Alligator mississippiensis: one gene and its partner. The protein of the gene in region 1 purifies or fractionates together with the protein of each later gene. This does not show direct contact. Links are inferred from orthologs where the notes say so. Each region holds a gene or a part of one and is shown on either strand. Other genes may lie near its edges.

Region 1 (7,468 bases):
TAGCTGAAATCTGATGCTATGATTGAGTGTCTATGTGCCAGTTTCCAGCTTTAGAGAGTTTTCAGCAATAGCTTACCTTGACCTCATCAGATGAAGGTCAACTTGGAGGGAAGGCAAACAAGTCTTGAGCACCATCCTCTCCTTTGCCTTCCCAACTCCCAAATATTTATCTCATCTTGACAGGCCAAATTGCATTTATAAACCAAACTTACTCTAAAATATACACCATTCTTTTTCTTATCCTATATCCCCAACCAACCAGCACACATTTCAGTGCTTTTTTTTTTTTTTTTTATTTTTCTTTTTAAGAAAAGAACAAGAAACAATCTAATAAAAAGTCTAGGCCTAGAGCTAATCCTTAGTCACTAAACTTAGATTAATGCTCCAAGAACTAAGGGAGAGCTCCTTTCACAGCTGTTCTGGCACCATTGGCAAAGATATTCTCAGTAGCATTTCAGCTGCTTACCAATTATAGACATTTCAACTGCATTCACAAAGTTAGCAGCCTGTGCAAGTTGCAGATCATAGCAGAGCACTGCTGAGTAAACAGAGTGCTGCACTGTAAGTTTGCTGCCGAATCCAAGTGGTTTTGACAAAGAACCACATGAAGAATCATTTATTGAAGTCATCTAGCCTTCAGGTAAATACCATTCCAGTTGCGAGCAAAGACACCATAAGTTTGACTACATAGGCCTGGGATAAGAATTAGCCTAGGAAACAGCTTCCCTTCCCCCAAACACAAAAGTTAATGTTTAGCAAATACAGTACATGCAAAAACCTTTGCTTTTTTGTACATACTTTGCTTCCTACAGTCTCTGCCTCTCCCTTTTCACAGAGTTCCCTTGAGTGCTCTGCCTTGGCTGGTTACAGGGCTAAAATTTACCATTTGGGCCTAAGGCACCCATTTATTCAAGCCTGTAAATAAGATCTTAGTAATGGTATACTACTCAGAATGCTATGGACCATGTGGCCTTCCCATATCCTCTTTAAAAACCACCTTTACTCTAAGTAAATACCCTTTTTTCACAGACCTACTATAAATCACTTCTTTTAAAATACTTCATAAAGATGTTTCTCTGAAGCTGGCATAGGAAGTAGATTTAAAAAAAAAAAACAAAAAAAACCACACACGAAAAACAACAAACAAGCCACATCCCCAGACACCTGCTCACACATACTATTGGATGTACCCAGAAGCAACTGCCTTCGATTCATAACTTGACTTTGCCAGATGTTTAAAGAGAGTCCGCAGAAGCATCTATTACTTTCCCTTGGTAGCCAGTTCCTCACTGTTATTTTACAGCCATAGACAGACTTTTACCTAGCAGTGCAAACAGATAGAAATACAGTTGATCCCTCTAAATACTCAAAGGGATAAAAAGAATTTGATGAAGCTACCCCTAAAGTCTCCTTCTCTGAACAATTTAGTCTACGAGATCCCCACCTTCTGCCTAACAATCAACTAATCTCACAACTTTTTTCAGATATTACCGACGGCCCTTGCGTTGTGCAGCGCTAGGTTGAAGACCTGCCTCAATTTGTTACTGTGCTCCATGGAGTTCAACCCATTTGAGACTTCCTGCACTCAAGGTCTGCACCTCTAAACATGTCAGAGAGGAATCCCAACAGCTGCAAAGGAAGGTCCTACCAGCAAAACACCACAGAGCGCTTCAACTGAATTCAGACTAAACAGAAAAAAAGGTGTGGCCAGAGGCAAAAACAGTTGTTGTCTCATCCTGTTTTTGCAAGGCATCTTAGCACATCGCTTTAAAAGAAGGCACATAAAAAGAAATCCAAGAACTCAACCAGCTAAGTCTCGCCGAGAGAGAGTTTAACTTCTCAGGAACAAACTCTTGGACTCCATGTTGCGCCTGCATTGCTGGGGGAACCTGCGTACATCTTCAGTGTGTTCCCAGATTGAAAACAAAGCTATGCCACGTTATGCTGCCCTATAGAAGAGCAGGAACAAGGAAGTGAAACAGCGTTAAAAAAAGATAGCAATAATAAATAAATAGCCCTAAATCACAGGGTTGGAAGGGGCCTCAAAGATTATCCTCCAGAGCAGCCCAGACACCTTGGGGAGGGGGAGTCAGGGTTGAACTTCAGGCAGGCCCTCACACCTCTGCCCAAAGGCCCAGCTTCAAACAAAAGGTGGTCCCAAACGAGTTTTCAGGCACCAACTACTAACATCTTCAGAGCTGGGAGAGTCACTTTGATCCGACGTGGCAGGTGTGGCCGGGCCACATTTAAAACGGGACACTTATCGCTGCATTTTGCTTAGCAAACCAAGCAAGGGCAGTGCAAGTTTCACGCCAGTCAAGGGTGCAAGGTGTGCAACAGGTAGCAGGGCCCCCCCGAGACCCAGGGAAGCAGAAAGCAGAGTGGCTCCTGTCTCTGGCAGACAGAGAAGAAGCCTTGATGCCAACACAAGAGAGAAAAGCGAGAGAGCTGAGCCAGCCCTGGGGAGGGCGAGGAGAAAGCCTTGCGGGATGGGGACTTTCCAGAGGCAGGACAGGACTCCTGGGGTGCGGAGCACCTCTCTTAAAGAGGCTGCAAAACTAGCTTGCCCCACTTCACTTTGCAACCAGGGTGCAGCCCCCTGCATGGCATCAGGCACCTGTGGAGCTGGCACTGCTCGGCAGCTCCAGGGGCTGTGCAGGCTACTTCCTCCCACCCAATTCGGCTCCAGGCTCCGCTCCCTGGGGCCCCTCGTCCCCCCGCCCGGAGCCACCTCCAGCCTGAGGCAGAGCGCGCGGGGGGGGCAGCCCAGCCCAGCCAGGGCTCCGGTGAGGCGAGTTTGCAAGGCAGGGAGCCCAACCCCTGGACCCTCCCTCCGCTCTGGGGTGCCCCTTACCCAGAAGATGAAGTTGAAGACGAAGAGCAGGTACTTGATACACTTAATGCCTCCTTTCACCGGCATCCTAGCGGCTGCAGGAGCCAAAGGGGTCCGACAGCTGCAGCGGGGCTCGGGACGCAGGAAGGACACGCCGCGCACTGCCCCGCCTTAAATGCGGGCGAGTCCCTGGAGCAGTCCAGCGCCTCCCCTCCCCCTCCCTCCTGCCCCGCCCCGCCCCGCCCTGCCCTGCCCTGCCCTGCCCTGCCGCGTCCCGCGCCCGCCCCGCGGGCTCGACGGGCGCCGGGGGCTGCAAGGCGGGACGAGAGGCGTGGGGGGCGGCCGCGGAGGCTCCCTCTCCTCGCCCCCAGCCCCGAGAACCCAGGTCGGAAGCGGGAAGGAGCCCCGGAGCGGTGTTGGCTGCCCCCTTCCCAGAACATGAGTCGAGAGCCGCGGCAGGGCTTGCAGCTTTCCGGGCACCGCTCTGGGACAGGAGGCTCCGGAGAGTTGCACCGTATAGACTAACCCCGGGGTGTGTGTGTATACTTATGGCTACGCAGGTGCGTATGCAGATGACTGTGCACATGCACATGTATACACACCCCAAAAGATATGGATACAGGCATACATATGGCTATATAGATAGATATCGATACATACATACACACACTTAGCTATATATACATGCATACATATAGGCTTACAAATATGTGTATATTTGTATGCGTATATGTGTGTGTGTGTATACATGCGTACAGATCTACATACACATGTATGTGTGTGGGCGTATGTATGCATGTGTGCATACATGTGTGTGTGTGTGTGTGTGTGTGTGTGTGTGTATATATATCTGCCATGTTGCAGGGGTGTAGGTTGTAGCCGTGTTGGTCTAAGGACAGAGGCAGACAAGATTCTTTGGGTGAATCTGGTATCTTTTATTAGACCCACTCAAACAGTTGGAAAAATTCTTCTTTGCAACTTTCAGACACAATCACCCTTCGTCATGCTGAGGAAGCACCTGCAGTTGCTCTGCCCTTTTCCTGTGTTTTTCCCATTTTAGGTATTAAGGGTTTGGAACAGTTTAAGTAGATTGATTTTAAATAAACATAACTGAATGGCTGCACTCCTCAAATATGGACAAGGCAATAGTGACGGCAACCTATAAAGAGAAATGGCAGGGAGGGAAGCAAATACAACTAGAGGTTTCTGCCACCCCTAAGATCCTGCTTTCTTGAGGTTGAGGGGCACATTTTCATGTTTTGTTTGTAAGTATAATCACAAGCTTTCATGAGATGAAGCTAATTTTAACCAATGGTGTGAAAGGACATACAACAAGCAGTGTAGAAGAAGAAAAGGAGAAAAAATGTTCTTTCTCCTACACTGCTTGTTGCACTTCCTTTCACAACATTGGTTGAAGTGAACTTCAGCTCAGGAAAGCTTGTGCTATCTATGTATATGTGTATGTAAGTGGATATATATACATACACACGTATAGATAGCAAGCACAAGCTTTCTACTGTATGTGTGTATAAGTGTAGATATATATCTATATATAGATATAAATGTATGTGTATATACACCATCCAGGAAGAGCACACACCAACTGCTGAAGAAGCTTCCTTAGCCTGACGAAGGGTTTTTGAACCCGAAAGCTTGCTTAATAACTATTCACCAACCATTTGGGTTGGTCTAATAAAAGATATCAAATTCACCCAAGGAACCTTGTCTGCCTGTGTATATACATGTGTGTGCATGTGTATATACGTGTGTATATACATGTGTGTACACATGTGTGCGCGATACATGCACACACACGTGCATGCACACACACACACTTCTGTTAGTCTATAACATGCAAATCTGCCCGGCCTTCTACTTAATTTCAGACTAACAGGTTTAATTATGTGTCTCAGATTTAAAAAAAAAAAAGACACTCCAGGATAGCATTCCTCAAAGATCCGTCCAAAATCTTAAGCAAAACCCTAGCAACTGGATTTACTGCTCACTGAGATGAAGGTTTAAAATTGCAATAAGTTAGATGTCTAGACATCCTGGTAGTGCAAAATTCTAGAAAATGATTCTAATGCAATGAAGTAGGCAAGTATAGAGAGATGCTTACAAAATGCAAACTTCTCAACCTTCTTCGAGACTCAAGGTAACTCTTGTTAGACTCAAGGCACCGCATGCCAGCTCTTAATTTTCACTCATTTTTTGAGTATGGAAAAAGAATAGAGCAATTCTTCTGTTGCAAAGAACTCAAAGACCACAACAGGTCAAAATGGTTTTGACATTATGGATTTTCATTTGAAATCTCTGTGTTTATCTTGTGAATCATGTTTGCACAATTAACAATACCAACATTGTGTGGCACTCCATGTCATCCTTGAAAGGATGTCAGGGTGCTGTAGCATCCTTGTTTTGAACCAATACAAACTAGTTTAGCCCTTGCTTACCAATTTAAGATAGACTGATGTATGTATCTCTCCATCACAAACTGAAGTGACTTAAGTATGGATTAAACCAGTTTAGGTATTAAGAGTTTGCAACAGCTTAAGTAGGTTGATTTTTAAATAAAGGTAACTGCTGCAGTCCTCAAATATGGACAAGGGTATAGTGACTGCAACCTATAAAGAGAAACAGAGGGCCAGAGCCTCCACTGCTGTAAATTTGCCATTGCCTACTTGCTATGGTAATTTACACCTGCTAAACCTGTAAATCAGATTCTGCTGTGGAAACCCAAAGAAGCATGATTGAAATGCAAATAAAAGGTTTTTAGTATTAGCATTGTCAAAATTTAAAGGACTCCCGTAATGAATGTTTGTCAGAACTTTCTAAGATAAGGCTTTACAATGTGAAGCTAATGCAACTGAGGAAGGCATAAAATAGAGATAGTATCCGAAAAACCAAAAAATCTAAATGCAAATAAGATATTCTTTCATTTGAAAACAAGGAAGGAAAAACATGCAACTCTGGGAGAAAGGAGAGAGAGAGGCACACTTGGTCATTATGATGAGGGGGTGGGGGTTCTACACACCTGGCACTGACCACAAACGGGGTTAGTGAAAGCCTCTGGCCCCAATGAACTCTTACTTACTACACCTGCGGTAGATATTAGGCATGAAGCTGGTTATTGACTTGTTTTTTCCTGAAGTTATAGCAGGGGACCTGGGAGTTTGAAAACTTGCTGGATAATTTCTTTTTAAATTTCTTGCTTTCTGGTGTTTTGTAACCTTTGATAATTTAGGAAGACTGGTGGGTTATCTGACCTGTAGAGCTGAAGCTCCATGATTTTGCACTCTGGAAAGATATGTGTAGTTTGTTACTGTGGCTAGTTAATAGGGTATCTGTGAAGTTGTATGCCTATTGCAATGATGTGTGTCTAGAAAGATCAAAATTTGTTAATGGGTACTTAAAAAAAAATCTTGTAAGTTGTTCTTGGTTGTATGATTGGTCTTTGTGTGGCAGTGGAGAAGCTTTAAAATATCTTTTGTATATTTCAGTTTTATTGTTTTTCACCTACTTCCTATTTAGTGTGGATAATAGTGATGTCCTTAACTTCCTATGGTAGCTTGAAAAGTACAGAGGGGAAAACCACTCTCTTAGCGCTATGGTTACAACGAAGCCTACTTTCTGAAGTTGGGCAAAACTTACATGACTTGAAATACCAAATGCTTTGGATATGAACAGGAACTTTTAGAAACTGTTAATGGCTTGCTTATCCAAAAAATATCTCCCCATTTCTTCTCCCTATACTTTCTATGAAGAACACATTTGTTGCTGTTCATGTCATCTTTCTTTGCCTGTTGGTTGTGGGTTTTTGTTTTGTTTTTTAAATTTTGTAATCCTGGAGGGACCTGCCATCCTGGAGTTAAGGAGGAGTGTAGGGGCCTCTGGATCTTCTAGGGACATTGCTTTGGACTTGGCAACATGGAATTGCTGCTATGTAGCTTTAGACTTCTATTGTAGTCCACAGGAACTCTTGTACCTCTTTTGACTGACAGCAGAATTGAGCTTTAATAAGTCAAAATCTCCTGTAAATTGTTTTTTTTGCCTGGTGTAACTCCATTGAAACAGTACATGGAAATATAAAGATGCAAAATTGACTTGTCCATTTATAGGATGACTAGCAAAATAATGCCAGTGAACATTAAGAATTTTGTGTTTAATTCAATTTGATTTAATTCAATTCAATTTCCTACTCTGATAAGTAAGACACATCTGCAGTTGTAAGGGTGCTAGATAAAGACCTCTTGAGGTATCTCCAAGCAATTGGGAAATGCTTTGCATAGAAGAGCCTTCATGAAGATCACCATAGAAAAGCATAATGGAGAAAATACATTGGTGGTCAAAATTCACTTTCTCAAGCATTTGAAATAAAAATAGTTGGCATTCTCATGCAACAGTCTTCTTTTACGACAACAAGGATGAGGAGGTCACTGAGCTTTGGACTGGACAGCATATGATACTCTAAACTGAAACTGAACTCCTCTGAAGGAATACTTTGGAATAAGATGATTCTTGAGGGTGTTGGTGATGATCATCTGCATTTGACTGATGTTGGCTAGTTATTTTCTGTTCTGTTAGTCTTCCTTTCCTCCAGAAAATCACTGATTTCACATAGGGTTGCTAGCAAGG
Region 2 (7,628 bases), about 72 Mb from region 1:
GCCAACCATGGAGCCCAGGCTGCTTGCAGCAAGGCTGACAGCTGAGCCTGCCTGACTTCCACCTTCGCCCAGCCCCCCCCCCCCCGCCATGAGGTTGATGATGCCCCCTTGCCAGAAGCACCGCACCTTTTGTGGGCTTGGGTAGGTGGTTGGGCTGATGGGCAGGCTCTGGGCCGGGGCCTTGGCCAGTTGTGCTGCAGCGTGGGGTGTGGCTCCCCAGGGAGGCACAGGAGCTCTGACGGGACCAGGGCATTGTTGGGTCAGACTTTGTCCAGTGGCCCAGGATCCTGGCTCCATGTGCCTGCGCATCTGGTTCTGTGTGTCTGTCTGCCTCTGTGTGTCTGTGCCCACACATCTGGTTCTGGATGTGTGTGTGTGTGCACGTGTCTGTTCTGGTTCTCTGTATTTGTGCATGTGTCTCTGTCTCATTGCCTCCTGTTGAACTTGTTGCAATATTTATGATTTATTAAATATATTAATATGCAGTGTGTCCTGCCATGTTCCTACCTGTTTCTTTTCTCTTCCCCCCCCCCCTTTTGTTTTTCTGGCATGCTCACACTCCCACACCTTCCAAGGTAGACATTGTGGGTTTTTTTGGCACTCCAGCCAAAAAACATTGCCTACCCCTGTGTTACAAGATATTATAAAGCACTAGCCTTCAATTATTTACAAACTGTATAAATATAGCCATGATTGTTATTGTGTAAATATCAATGGTAGAAATACAAATACTGATAGTGTAAACACAACTATTTTTTAATTGCCCTGACCTCTAACCTGCTCGGAGCACACTTCTTTTTTTTCCCCCCCCCCTCAAAATGCCAACAGCTGCAGGTGTCTTATGTACTCCAGTGCTCTTACAAGTCCTAACAACAGCAGTGAACCAGAAGCAAAGATAACAGTAGTAAAAATTCTAACACAAATATGCTAGCAAATAAAAGGTTAATTGTTTGTTCAGCTGATTGCCAGTGTTCAGAGGTGTTAACATAATAGAAGTTACCTGAGAACTAGCAGTTTAAAAAAATTGTGAAAGTGTTGCTTTCAAGAAACTGTTCAAAGAGCTTGATTTGACATATACACATTCTGGACATGTAAAATTAATTAATATTTAAAATGATTAAAGTTTAATAATTTGGAGTTCCTCATAATTGGGTCTAGCATGGTAGGTCTGGATCAGGTTTTCTGAATTTAGATTTAAAAAAAGAGAATACACTTATTATCACTTAAAAATGAAAAGGGGATATAGTTGCATATTTCCACTTTTAAAGACGGGTGTTTTTTTGTTTTTTTTTTTTATGTGCCACATTAAAGAAATTCAGCTGTATCCCCCTCTGTAACGGTAAATGATTTGCAACTCTTTAGGTCAGATAAATGTAAGGTATTGTTCAAATAGAAGGTAAAAGTTTAGCTGTGTGAAACATCGCTCTTTCAAGTTTCTCCAGCAGACAAAATAAAACATCTTTTGTGGCTCCAGCTCCCCACACCTTTCTTCTGAAAATGAAAAATTATTTGTTATAATTAACTACACAGCTTGTTACATTGAGGAGGAGAGCAGGCTTGGCACGGATGTTTTCTCAATATGTAGGCTCAGCAGGCCAACGCCTTGTAGTCCATTTGGCAGAAAACCAACATACCATTAGTGAGCAGACACCTGAAAACTCAGCTATGGCAGAGCATGTGTTTTAAAGATAGGCCACATGGTTTTGATCTAGCTGAAAGATGGCATCTTTTTTTATATTCAGTACAGTGGCCAAAGTTAATTTTAATTGGTTGTTATACCTAATCCTTATTCTCTCTTTTTTTTTTTTTTTATACTGGGATACTGAAGGGCTTCTTATTCTGCACTGTTTCAGTTTCTAGATCAGTGATTCTCAACTTCTTTTAAGATCATGGCACTCCTCATTAGACTCATTGCTCTCTTTGGAAAATGCCAGTCCTTAGTTTACACTTCTTTTTTGGCTGCAAGAAAAATAGAGAATTTTTTTTTTGTTGCAAGCAACTCAAAGATCACAGCACATCAGAATGTTTTTAATGCCATGAATTCCTATTTGAAATCTCTGGGTTCATTTTGTGAATCATCCTTGCACACGCCTGGTAGTGCTAATGTTGTGACACACCCTGGAAAGGGTCTCTGGTGCTGTGGCACCGGTTCTAAAAAGTCCAATAACATTATCTTTTTGAAGGTAGGATCCATTTCTGAGATTCCACAGTCTGACTGGGAAAGGAAAAGGGAAATAACCATTTCCCACTTGTTTCTCTTATTTCTGTAGGACAAATTAAAGTGCATAGAGTAAAATGTTGTTTAAGTGCCCATCCAAGGGCCATACTACAAAGCACTCCTAAAGAGTTTGAGTGTAGTTCTACTCTACCTTTTTATAAGCAATCCTTCTTGTCAGTCCTGTGAGTGATCACTCCAAACAAGTCTTATGCAGCTCATAGATTCATAGATGTTAGGGTCGGAAGGGACCTCAATAGATCATCAAGTCCGACCCCCTGCATAAGCAGGAAAGAGTGCTGGGTCTAGATGACCCCAGAGTGCTGGGTCTAGATGACTCGTCCAACCTCCTCTTGAAGACCCCCAGGGTAGGGGAGAGCACCACCTCCCTTGGGAGCCCGTTCCAGACCTTGGCCACTCGAACTGTGAAGAAGTTCTTCCTTATGTCCAGTCTAAATCTGCTCTCTACTAGCTTGTGGCCATTGTTTCTTGTAACCCCCGGGGACGCCTTGGTGAATAAATCCTCACCAATTCCCTTCTGTGCCCCCGTGATGAACTTATAGGCAGCCACAAGGTCACCTCTCAACCTTCTCTTGTGGAGGCTGAAAAGGTCCAGTTTCTCTAGTCTCTCCTCGTAGGGCTTGGTCTGCAGGCCCTTGACCATACGAGTTGCCCTTCGCTGTACCCTCTCCAGGTTATCCGCATCCTTCTTGAAGTGTGGCGCCCAGAATTGCACGCAGTACTCCAACTGCGGTCTGACCAACGCCCTATAGAGGGGAAGTATCACCTCCCTGGACCTATTTGTCATGCATCTGCTGATGCACGATAAAGTGCCATTGGCTTTTCTGATGGCTTCGTCACACTGCCGGCTCATGTTCATCTTGGAGTCCACTAGGACTCCAAGATCCCTTTCCACCTCTGTGCCACCCAGCAGGTCATTCCCTAGGCTGTAGGTGTGCTGGACATTTTTCCTCCCTAGGTGCATCACTTTGCATTTCTCCTTGTTGAACTGCATCTTGTTGTTTTCTGCCCACTTGTCCAGCCTATCCAGGTCCAGCTGTGGTTTGGAACCCTCATTACTGAGTTACTTTTGGAGAGGAGACTGTTCAGAGAAGTTTTTCCTGTAGCAACTACTATGGATAATAACGATGAATAAAACTTGGCAAAATGTGAACTTCATTAGGGATTTCCACCCTCGGCCCCCCCTATGTGACAAGGACATCTCAACCACTTTTCAGATATGGTATAACAGTATTTGAATGATGCCCCCTACCTCATTAAAAGAGTTATGCAGAGCAACTACTACACTTCTTAATGTATTATGGGATGCAGCTCTGATTGTTCTTGAGGGGAAAAAATTCTTTATTACTTTGATACACATCTCAGAGTTGTTTTAAAAATTTGTTGTTCGTATTTGTTTTCAAGTTCTTATTAATTACCAGCACATTTATGGGCTATAATCAAGGAAACTTACTGTAGCAAGTCCTCTCCATCTTCGAAGTCCATGACAGTGTAGTGTTTGTCAACAGTTTTCTGCCATGAGAGTGAAGTGACCATGTGACCAAACACTGGATTATAAAATTGCATAAATCTGACTGTGCTGGGATGAAACTTTATCAGGTGGAAAAGGCATCTCCCTCTGAGATCCTTATTTGACCAAACATGCATGAAGGTTTCCAGCCTATAGACTATGGGACACATTTTTGGGTGACTTAATACTTGCCTGTACTTTCTTCTGGCTTGGGGCTTATGAGTCTTTATAGCTAAAAACTTGCTTACACACCTGTTATTTGAGCACAGTTGCTCAGGCTCGCTATGCTGGAATAACTGTCCTGGCCTAACTCTCGTTGGAATAGCTCTCCTTACAGAATCAAAGCATCTGCCCAGACTGCTAACCAGAATGGTGGTTTTGCTTTAAATCTTCCTCCTGCGTTTTTCCAAAGCCACCTTTTGGCCCTTTAGAGGAGTCTTAAAACTTCTTCTGCCCCTACTCTAAAAAGTGTAATTGCTCTTTTCTAAGAAAGAGTACCGTATTACTTTTGGAGGTTTAGTGATTTAAAAAAAACAAACCCTTAATTTAGGAAAAGGAAGGGAGTGCTGGATGCCTAATGGCAGTGAACTACAGACCGAAATAAACCCGTGGTGCCCGTCGGCCGGGGGGTGCCGGGGCGCGGGGCTGCCGCGGGGAGAGGCGGCGGCGGCTGGGAGCCGCAGACGCGCTCCGTGACGGGCCAAGGACGGGGCGGACTGGGCTGGGCTCTGGAGGCGCCGCCAGCCCCTACACCCGCTGCCTCCCCCGCGCCTGCTCACGGGGCCGCCCCCGCCGGCCGCAGCCGAGGGCTGGAGCCTCCTCCCCAGCGGGGCGCGGCGGCCGCACCTGCCGGGGGGCCGGGCCGGGCGGGGCGGGCCGGCGCCGTCACTCCGCTCGCGGCCTCGGGAGAACAAGGGCCCTGCGCGGAGGAGTAGCAGGTTCCGCGGCCGCCGGCGGGAACAGATGGCGGCGCCGCTCGGCCTCTACCTGCGCCTGGGGCAGTGGCTGCTGCTGCTGCCCGGCCTCGCCCGCGCCTTCAACCTGGACGCGGAGCAGGCGGTCGTGCGGCGCGGCGGCAAGGGCAGCCTCTTCGGCTTCTCCCTGGCCATGCACTGGCAGCTGCAGCCGCAGGACAAGAGACTGTGAGTGACCCGGCCCCGGGCCAAACTTCCCCGCTCCCCTCCCCTCTGCTCCGCTCCGCTCCCCGGGCAGGTCCCGGGCGGGCAGCACCGACTCGGCCAGGCCGGGCCGCGGCCACCTGTTGGCGGGGCGGCGGAGCGGTGACGGGCGATCGCCATTTGCCGCCCCGGGCGCTGGTGCCGGGATCCGGGATCCGGGCGGGGGCGGTGCCAGGTCCCGCGGCCGCGGAGGGAGGCGGCTGCTTGAGGCGGGGGGGCCTGCAGGCTGCTGCCATGTGCGCCGCTCCCGGGGAGCCGCGGTCTCGCTGCCGGGGCCGGGGGAGCTGCGCCCCTCGCACGTGCTCCAGCTGTGAAGCTGGCTGGAAAAGACTTAAGCTGCTGCTTCCCCGGGCAGGAGGACAGCTAGTCCTCCGGGGCTCCGTCTGCCCCACCACTTGATCAGGAGCCCGGGAGGGATATCATAGTATTTTACCAGCTCCTTTTCAAGGCTGAGCTGGTCTCGCACTCCTCATGGGAAGACGGCACGGGGGCGGGTGTTGCCAGTGTAATGGTGCAAGGAAAGGCGGCGCTTATGGAACAGCCAAAGGCGAAATGAACGGGACCTTCTCCCAGGCCTCCTCCCCGGGCTTCCCTGCGGAGCTGCCTGGTGTTTACTACCTTCTGTATGTGGTATCGTTGGGTGACACTGAGGAGAAGTTTCCTTGTGACAGGACAAGTAAAGCCCTCATATTTTGCTTTAATGCAGAAAGAAATAAGAGCGTGGGAACTGCCCTTGCAAGAGAGAAGTGGGGCAAGTAGCAGTCAGAAAGAAAGTTACGTTTATAGGTCTGTATTTTGCCCTGACTTGCACTTGTGAAACTACTAATTGCAGTGAAGTTGCATGAGTGAACATCAACAGCTATTATTGTTAGCTCTTCATGCTTATAGGACAGGGGCTGCCAAAGGCAGAAGAATAAATATCTTAATGCAAGAAGTTGCTTTTTAGAATCGTACATCATTGTCCCATCTTGACGGCATTATTATTGCGGTTCTTAAAAGCTTGTGTCATTTTACTCTAAACGGTCAATAAAAGGACAATCTACAGTTTGTTAGACCTTGTATGGTACAGTCAAATGTGGCTAGTGAGTAGATATTAAAATGTCTAGGGATATTAAACCAATAGAAGGACAATGTACAGTTTATTAGCTTCCTATGGTATGGCCAAATGCAGCTAGTAGTTAGGAATTGGAATATGTGGGGACATAAAATCATTCTGTAGGGGTTCTTGGTCTTGGGAGGCCAGTTGCAATGTTCAGGCAAGTTTGTGAAATTTTAGATTAAAATTTCTCTCAGATTATTAGAACGACACTTCTGCGTTAGCTGTATGTATAGAACACTTGGTGGCAATTCAGATCTGAGGGAAGAGAAAATAAGCAGATCCTTAACTTATGGACAGGGCTCTCTGGAAAAAAAACCCTGAGTAATGCAGAACCAGACTAGGGAACAGTACGCACAGGCTGAATCCTGCAGACTCCATCGGAGTCGTGCAAACTACTGTAAGGTAGAAGACAGGGTAGAGTTGCACGTAATAGACTAACTTGAAGAGTGGCCCAGCAGTTTAGGTGCTCTCTGTGTTTTAGGAGACGAAGGTTCAATTCCCTGCTGTACCTCCATTTCTATCTGTAAAATGGGGTTAATTATATTTTCTGGCCTTACTGGGGTGTTGTAAGAATAAAAGCATTAAATATTGTAAACTGCCTGGATACTTCAGTAGTGTTGGCATATAAAATACATTATGCAGATAGCATCCCTAGAAGGCAACATTTTTAAGCTCTGTGGTGCTGGAAACATCTTGTCAAATAGCAACATAATCAAACTCAGTGGGAGTTTCGTCATTGGAAAACTGAACTAAAGGACTATTTTTCAGACTTTGTCTTGTATTAGTAAAAAACTAGATAAAATAATGGTACTTATTGTTGGTAGCAAACGACTCCTTTACAGAGTCCATTGGGTACACTGAGGCCACCCCAAACACAGGAACTCTTTCTAGAGGCAGGACAGCTTATGTCCTTTGTGCATGTGTTTCAGGGAGGTCTGGGTGCTGGCAGCAATTGAGCCTATTTGACAGTTAAGTAGGTAAAAATTACTGTTATTGTCACAGCTGAAGATAGGACATGCTGTTGGGAGTGATTTCAGACTACCTGTGGGTCTGCAGCTCTATCCAGCTTTGTTTTTTCAGCTCTTTTGCAAAGATAGTTTTATAAGCTGCGGCCTCATTGAATCAAACACCCAGATCAGCTGAAACAAAAACAATAGATTTATTTATTTTGCGTGTTCATCTTTATCGAATGCTAACTTCAAAGCTCAGCTATAGATTTTTAAGTGAGCACTATTAAACATGCAGCCAAAATGCACAAAACACATTTTACCACTGAACCTTAATTGAATGTGACAGCTGGGTTCTTGCTTGGCATGGTTCTTCAATCTAAATCATAAATCCAGACTGGGATCATTTTGTGCCAAGTAATTGGATCCTAGCAAAAGCAAGCAGGGAAGAGAATCCTTGGGCTTTATCATTTGAATCTAGGAATAGAGAACCCATTTCAGCATGCCAACTGCATGTTATCAAAGATGGTCTTTAGTTGTCTCAGCAATATTTTCTTAATCTTCCTTCTTTACCTGATACAGGTTTCAAGATAAATTATTTTCATTTTCTTGTCATCACTGTTTGATTGCTCAGAGTGAGAATTACAAAACCTTTGTA

The links. Proteins that work in one complex are often made in the same cells at the same time.
Region 2: the proteins of CD9 (region 1) and ITGA6 purify together in Homo sapiens (co-immunoprecipitation; 3 studies listed by BioGRID and IntAct, with this or other methods). This does not show direct contact. The link is inferred for Alligator mississippiensis from reciprocal best matches to the Homo sapiens genes CD9 and ITGA6.

Annotation. Positions count from the first base shown.
Region 1 is NC_081827.1:140,329,833-140,337,300, forward strand, and holds the start of CD9 (CD9 antigen), read right to left. Parts: upstream 3,006-7,468; 5' UTR 2,921-3,005; coding exon 2,855-2,920; intron 1-2,854. UniProt on the Homo sapiens protein: Integral membrane protein associated with integrins, which regulates different processes, such as sperm-egg fusion, platelet activation and aggregation, and cell adhesion.
Region 2 is NC_081827.1:211,944,912-211,952,539, reverse strand, and holds the start of ITGA6 (integrin alpha-6), read left to right. Parts: upstream 1-4,621; 5' UTR 4,622-4,709; coding exon 4,710-4,888; intron 4,889-7,628. UniProt on the Homo sapiens protein: Integrin alpha-6/beta-1 (ITGA6:ITGB1) is a receptor for laminin on platelets. Integrin alpha-6/beta-1 (ITGA6:ITGB1) is present in oocytes and is involved in sperm-egg fusion.